Linked DNA regions of Nothobranchius furzeri. The protein of the gene in region 2 purifies or fractionates together with the protein of the main gene of each other region. This does not show direct contact. Links are inferred from orthologs where the notes say so. Each region holds a gene or a part of one and is shown on either strand. Other genes may lie near its edges.

The links.
Region 1: the proteins of l3mbtl1 (region 2) and anapc1 purify together in Homo sapiens (affinity purification with mass spectrometry; 4 studies listed by BioGRID and IntAct, counting the BioPlex papers as one, with this or other methods). This does not show direct contact. The link is inferred for Nothobranchius furzeri from reciprocal best matches to the Homo sapiens genes L3MBTL1 and ANAPC1.

What each region holds. Positions count from the first base shown.
Region 1 is NC_091752.1:26,818,922-26,822,742, reverse strand, and holds part of anapc1 (anaphase-promoting complex subunit 1), read right to left. Parts: intron 2,973-3,821; coding exon 2,798-2,972; intron 2,669-2,797; coding exon 2,463-2,668; intron 1-2,462. UniProt on the Homo sapiens protein: Component of the anaphase promoting complex/cyclosome (APC/C), a cell cycle-regulated E3 ubiquitin ligase that controls progression through mitosis and the G1 phase of the cell cycle.
Region 2 is NC_091755.1:32,903,745-32,907,665, reverse strand, and holds the start of l3mbtl1 (lethal(3)malignant brain tumor-like protein 1), read right to left. Parts: upstream 2,439-3,921; 5' UTR 2,277-2,438; intron 2,271-2,276; exon of another isoform or gene 1,752-2,270; intron 1,581-1,751; 5' UTR 1,555-1,580; coding exon 1,389-1,554; intron 797-1,388; coding exon 612-796; intron 458-611; coding exon 331-457; intron 10-330; coding exon 1-9. Other genes in the region: srsf6a (serine and arginine rich splicing factor 6a), read right to left, coding at 3,463-3,898. UniProt on the Homo sapiens protein: Polycomb group (PcG) protein that specifically recognizes and binds mono- and dimethyllysine residues on target proteins, thereby acting as a 'reader' of a network of post-translational modifications.

The DNA.
Region 1 (3,821 bases), on a different chromosome or scaffold from region 2:
AGACTGAACAAAAAGGACGATGACGACATGACTCCTCTGCAGGGTGACCTCTGCAAAAGAACCACTTCTAAAAATACTCATTTTGATGCTTATCCAAAGCTACAGTCACTGCAGCAGTGCGGGTCATAGGCTGGCAAATTTAAAATATTACAATGTGTGAATGAAATCAAAAGGTCAGTTTAATTATTGCTACAGCTGGTGACACGTGTGTAATGTCACATTAGAGAAACCGAGTCGTTTAGCTGATAATAGGTCAAGGGCAGGAAGCTGAGGATCTAGTTAGAGTCTGTAGATAATGGTATGTACAACACCACACTCAAAGACTCGTGTGCGTGTGTGTGTGCGCGCGTACATGCAGCAGTCAAATGATGTGAGTGTACATGTAGTCTGCTTCCAAAAAGATTAAGACACTAAAAGTGTTTTCATTTGGGTTTAAGAAGAACAAACCTGTAGCAATGAGAATTGCTCTTAACCGTGTGTTCCGCCCGGAGTCTAGAGAGTGTAACACCGGAGGGTGAGAGATAGACACACATGTCTGATTAAGTGTTCAATAAAGGTTTGCCTCGGACGAGGAAAAGTCAACTGAGCATCTTGTGGAATTTATAGAAAGAACAAGATGAAACAAAACCTGGAGCAGGTGAGGTGACTTAACCAACAAATGCATCCGTAAGTTCAATTAACACTGAGGTGTAAGTTATGTGAAATCACAAAATGTTAGAAGATTCCTCAATAAAGTCAAGAAGAAAAGTGAATAAAAGCAGCTTGTGTTTCCAAAACCTAACCCCGGCTTTCCACTGGATGTGTATTTGTTACATAAAACGTAGCAGATAGCTGTTGCTGTAGTCAGCGGGTGTGTTTCAACCGGGCACAATCGGACATCTTGGATGCGTCCTAGAGGGGAATTGTTGCATCGCTATGCAACATTTATGATTCGTGAATTTATTTATTTATTTATTTATTTTACACACTACACTTCCAGGATGAGTCAAGCAAACACTTTTGATTTGGCCAGACAAGAAATCAAACACAAAAGTTGTGTAAAACCAGCAAATTCCTAAGTAAAAGACCAGGGGCCTAATTTATCAAGCTTGCTTACGCACAAAACGGCATCTGAAAACTGTGTAAGCAACTTTCCACGCTAACTTTGGGATTTATGAAAGAAAACTTTGCAGAAAAATGTGCGCAACTTTAAGTTGACTAAGGACCTGGCTTACACACATTTTGGACATGGAGAGCACCTGCAGTGCTGTTGCTGAGAAGGATAAAATTATGAAATCCTGCAGCTTTATCACTTGTACTGCTTCGTTTTCACACAGAACAAGACCCCCCCCCCCCCCCCCCCCCCCCCCACACACACACACACACACACACACACAGCCTGAAGCCAGAATGCAGAATATCAGCAGGGGGACAGATTGAGACAGAATGACATGCGTCTGTGACAGTGTGTGTCCTGTCACTGTGACCCGATTGATCATGTGCCCTGGCTAGTTGGACAAGGGAGATCTCCGTTTGGCTGACTGGTTAGCACACATGACTTTCACCCGAGAGTCTGGGGATCGAATCCCGGTTGGACCATTTTTTACATCCGCCACAGATCTCTCTGAAGAATTCACAGCATTGACGGCTTTAGCAACGTTGTGCCACTCTGTGGATTTTCTCTTATTTGTTTTGCAAAAGCACTTCCTTTCATTTCTCCACCTCACCCACAAGTACCTCAATTTCTGCTTGTGAAATTGCGCTTCCTTGATCTGCCTTGATCTACGGTCGGCATGTCATTGGCGGAGCGCTGCAACAGCCGGCTTATGTACATGCATGAGATTCACACGCCACTTTGCATTGACTATTCATGGCAGTAAGTGGGCGTGGTGAGGGCGGGATGTGACTAAAAAGCAGCTGAGAACCTTTCTAGATAGTTTCTGATTTATGAAGCGGAGATTGCGTGCAGCTGTGCGTACTCCATGTTTGATAGATCACAAACCTACTTGGCGTAAGTAAATTTCTTTTGCTAAGCTTAAGTGCGGCTTTAGTAAGGATTCTACGCAATGTTTGATGAATGAGACCCCAGCAGATTTCCAGTTGCTTAATTAGTAATATATATATAAATATATATATATATATATATATATATATATATATATATTTTTTTTTTAAGTACATCCTTTCCAGTAAAACCTGTAGCAGAGGCAAAAAGAACAAAAAATAAACCACAGACTTTTGGATACATGCTGCCATCTTTCTCCTTGCTTATCATGTGAACTTGTGATTCTCCGGTGATTTTGTGACCTTGCAGGGCTGGCAGTGCAGAACGCTCTAGCTGCCAATTTGTGTCTTTGTGGTAAAGAAAATAGGGTCTCTACTACGTTTTGCGCTGCTTACGCACCCAGTGGAAAGTCTGGGTAGCATGTATTTTCTTCTGATGTTGAAAAAAACACCCTGTCCATGTACAAATGTTTTCTTACCTGCCACCTCCCAGAAAGAGCAGACCCAGAGCCATGTGATGAGCCATGTGGAAGCCATAGTTCATCTCGCCGCCCGTTCTCTTGTGAAAGAAGCGACAGAGCTGCAGGACCTTCAGGTTTCCCGTGCCTGCCATCACCATGGACATAGCCAGCAGAATCATTGACAGACATGTTTGCAGGTTGTAATAACCCATCTGCTGGAGGGACTATAACACGTGACAGAGAAGAGCAAGACATGTAAACATCTCAACAGATAAAACGATTCACATATCTTCATAACTTTTAGAGTTAGTTAAGGAAGATGGGGGGGGGGGGGGGGGGGGGGACGCACGTACAGCACTCACAGCAGCTGTACCAGCAAAGGGCATCATCTTCATGAAGGTCCTGGCAAACTCATAAAGGCAGTCGAAGGCATCAGAATTGGCGGAGCCGGCAAAGCGTAACCCTAATGCCATACAGGCTCCAGCTGTAATGTAGTCTTCAGCTTGGCTGAGAAAAACATCACATTTTCTGATCAAACATGGAGGGAAACAGAACGACATCACCAACACAGCTGTAGCAGTTCATGACATCAGTGATTTAGTTATAGAAGCTAAGTTTTCAGCATATAACTCATCAGAAGTTGCCTCAAAGCTACAATGGCTAATTTGGAAAACAAGCTAGCTTAAAACGGTTTTTTTTTCATGCCTCGAAACAACGCTCTAACATAATACGTCTATAAATATTTTGTGGCGATTGAAAAAAAAAATTGTAATAATTAAGTTTTTCTCTCGCATTTGTCTAAAAATCTCCACCGATAACAAAGCTCGGACCAAACCCAACCACTGGACCATCCGGTTGTCTGTCTCACCAAACCATCTGGGGCCTCCACTCATTAGGCGCTTGTGCATTTTGCATCAGAACACCACACGTGGGAGGTTCACGGCTCAATAGTATTAGAGAAACAGCCGGCTGCCACAGCTTCAACTTAAGGACAAACTAAAAAGAAAACCACCAATTGAAGTCACGGTCAACAAAAGACGTTTGGACCTAGAAAACAGTGACTGGTGTGTAGCGCTCTCCCATTTCCTCTGTCAAGTTGGGTTTTTGGTTCTGGCGGACGTGCTGCAGGGATGCCAGCCGACAGGAGGGGAGAGTGTTCGTTGCAGCGTTCGCATTTGAAGCTCGCTTGTTCTGTACAATTGCTTTTGCAGCTTCATTGGTGCCATGAAACTAATCTGAGTGTCAAATTATTAAGAGTATTTTTTTATTGTAAATTTAAACATCTTGTTCACTGAGATGCGTATAAGACTTGTACTTTTTGAAATACAATCTATCACGCTGAGTTGAATATGCATGCTGAATGTGAAAATATTCTTC
Region 2 (3,921 bases):
CAAACACATCTGTCAATCAGATTTATGAGACTTTTACTTCCTCCCAGTGTTGGATGTATTTAAAATGATGCAGCTGACGTGAGGACCACTCATCTGCACTTTTTGTGGATCACCAAAAAGTGGAAAATTCCTCAAATTTAAAGCAAATCACACTAAGAGGACACCCGCAAAACCCAACGTCCTCGATTTTCTTTCAAAACAATAAAACACAAGTGTAATTGCATTATAAAATACCTTTTAATGTGTGTGTGTGATGAGTATTTAAGCTACATGCATGCATTGTCCTTGTTCCCTGGAGCTACTGCAACCTTCCAAAAACATGACTCTCACTTGGCCTGTCTGGAGCATTTTCTGGATCAGTGGATTTCCCAGAAGTCCCTGCCGTTGGGTCAATGGCGCTGCTGGTGGTCCCTGAGGTTATCAGGGTGCTCAGAGTTCCTACGTCACTCACACAAAACTACACACAGACAGAAACAAACATGACTCTATGAATTTCTACAATGTTCTAACTTCTAAATAACCTCTAAAAGCACTTTAGTAAACATTCTAAATGAGAATGTGTCTGTGACCTGATTATAACCTCCTTCATCAGATCAGAGGTGTGCTCGTACCTTAAGGTTGCTACTGGGCAGGATGGCCATTCCCTCCTTCCACTCCAGGACGTGGACAATGCTACAAGCCCCGCCTACCTGCGCCGTCAAAGTGGATGTAGCCAACTCGTTTGGTCTGCTGCCTTTACCCGGGTTTCCCACGGCAACGGCCGGGGTCACCTCCACTTTCTGGTGGCCGGGAGCTGCTGAAAGCAACACATCAACACCCCAACTCATTAGTCTAAAATAAAATCAACTTTTTGTGCAATCTTGTTTACGCATTTGAAACTAAATCAAAGGATAAATCAGCTGGGGTTGAGAACAATCATATATATGAAACGAGTTGTCAAGATCATTTTAAGTAGCAATGATTATAAAGTATATTAAATTGTTTATTATCAGAGTTTTAAACCATCATTTAAAGCAGATCAGAGAAGAGGAAGGGCATTTATATTTGGGATGCACTGACTCTGGTTCTGAAAGCCGATACTAATTTGTGGTATGATTTCTCAAAGATTTACAATCAACAGCATAGAATTCCTTTAAGATGCTAAAATAAACTTGAAAGTTATTATTCTGGCCAGAAAAAAAACCTCTACAAAAAAGGCTTGTTGCTAGGGTGAATTGATGGTGAGTTCACAGACCTGGAAAAGTGTTCGTTTTTTTTTCTTCTGTTTTTGCTGCTTTTTAATTTGTAGACCCAGCTTCAGAATATTACACTGGCCAATCATTAGATGAGCTTAGACACTTCTCTTTCTCATGTCATGGTTTTCCCTTGAGTCTCAGACCTAAGCTCACCTGGCAGCAGGAGGGTTGTGGTGTTGTGCATCTGGGGCCGAGGCTTCTTGGCCAAGCTGTCACTGCTGCAGATGAGGATGGTCTCAGTGGTGGATGAGGCGGATGGGTCAATGGGGGTGCAGTCTGGGTCTTTGGATGGAGCCTCCATGTTCACTTTGGCACTCATACTGTGATCCCTGTTATTACTTTGTGCTAAGAAACCAAATGTGAAAACAATGACAGTAGGGAGAGCATCATTGTAGTTTAAATGGAATATAACAAATTATATTTACAGAGATTTAATTACAGTTTTACAGCCGCACTTTTGATTTTTTTAAAGCAAAACATCAGCGTCAAAGTGACTTTCCAACAACCATCCATTACCTCCAATGAAAGCAGGCAACAATGGTGACACACCAATATTTACGCGCAAGCCTTTCAACACACGCACGCACAAAAATATAGCATTTTAGTGAAAATGGCGGAGGATCTGAAATCTAAGAGGCCATAATAAAAATGTGTAAAAGCAATCTTTCTGTCCATGTGGAAGCGCCTCAGTAAAGCATTTAACCTCGTTATGAATTCCGCCATCGTCTCTGGTGAAGGAGCTTTATTCTAACCGTGGAGCGAGTTGCTTATTCTGGTAGTCAAACACGCAGCGCGGTCATCTAAATTTAACACTTGTCAACGCAAAATAATCACGTCTTAAACGAAATGGCATCTAAAGATCAAAAAGCTTTGTGGCTGAATACATCCGCTGGGAAATGTTGTCTTAGAATAAAATGTGTGTACATTTAAACGCAAAAAGCCGCATGGCAAGAATCCTTCTCTCAGATTATTGTATAAAAGTGATGTAGGAAGAGAAAATTCGCGTTTTTAGATTTTCCCATGAACTGAAAATTGTCTTACCAGCTCTGATCTCCTGCGGCGCGGAGGCTTTTGAGTGCGCATGCGCACAGCCAACAGTCACTGAACATTTTTAAATGCCAAAACATTTTCTTTTTGCAAATCATTACGCTATTAAGTTATTTTGATGGTTCATAAATAATTTATTCCTATTTAGAATCCCAGTCACGGTTCAAGCCCACCCCCCATTAGACCCCAATGACAGCACTTATATAATTAGCAGGATATAGGTCATGGCAATACAGTATAGACTTGATTAACAGACACCAAACCACTCATTTTGTAGTCTCGTTTAATTGAACGTACAATTTTTTTTATCCAATCTCAATCATAGGAGGAAATCTGTTGCAGAAGACAATGACACTGCAGACAAACTAGCCTGATTTGAATAAATTCCTCCTTCCACCTCAAGTACAAGGAGCACTCTTCAAATATACAAAAGTTTGACCCTACAAACCTCAGGTTAAAGGAGCAAAAATAACCAGGAGCTGGAAGAAAAAAAAAAAACTACCAAAACTTAAACGAAACAAACAAAAAAAACCCTTAAGTCATCTTTTAAAAGTCGTCGGATGTCCCATTCATGGAAAGTTATAAAGGATAACTTAACTGTGACGCAAGCCGCTCAGAGGTGAAATACTTTGATTGCAAATATGTGGAGAAAATAAGCTACAGCCTCTGAAAAATACTGATTAAATAAATTCTTGAGAAAGAAAAACTTGCTGGGGGCTAAATGTATACCACCCACCTAATTTGTTTAATAAATGGGAATGAAACATCAGTTCTAGTTTAATGAACAAAACGAGAAAGCTTAAAAGTGTGGTAAACATCAAGGGGGAGCTGTGGAACACAAAATTCATAGACAAGTTTTCACTAAAACACTTTTTAATGAAAGTAAACTGATGTAGGGAAAAAGAACCACCTGAAACAAGACTAAATGTTTAGCTCAGGACAACTGACATCTCAGATTGTGGCTGGAAGACCCAAAAGGTTTTCAGAACTGTTGTTTATGATTTAAGGAGGCGTATCTCAACACTACAGGGCTGCCCAGGATACACAAGCCTAGAGCAAATCAGCAAGGTAAACGCATACATGGAGAAAAGAAGTCAAAGCATAGACCAGTAATTACACAACACAGCTCACTATGTACAGTTTGATAACCAAGCTTAAAAAAGAAAACCACCCCCCTTCTCTATTCCTGAGAGGCTGATCTGGACCGAGAGCGAGACCTAGAGCGGGACACTGAACGAGATGCGGAACGCTTCTCCCTGGACTTTGACCGGCGACCCCCATCTCGTGGTGATGGGGAGCGGGACGCAGACTTGGTGGCACGCTCTGCTTTTCCATTTTCAACAGGGGACACTGAACGGCTGCGGGACTTCTTGTCACTGGACCTTTCCTTCGACCTACTACGGGAATCCCGTTCAGACTTTACCTTGGAACGACTTTTAGAGCGAGACTTAGATTTGCGGTCAGCTGAACGAGAACGAGACTTGTGAGAGGGTGAACGAGATTTAGACTTCTGGGAGCGAGAACGAGATCTTTTGGTGCGAGACCGTGATTTCCTTTCTCCTGATTTGGAGCGAGACTTCCTTCCAGATCTGGAGCGGGAGTGGTGCCTCTTGCTGCTGTGGGAACAAGATCCATTAGA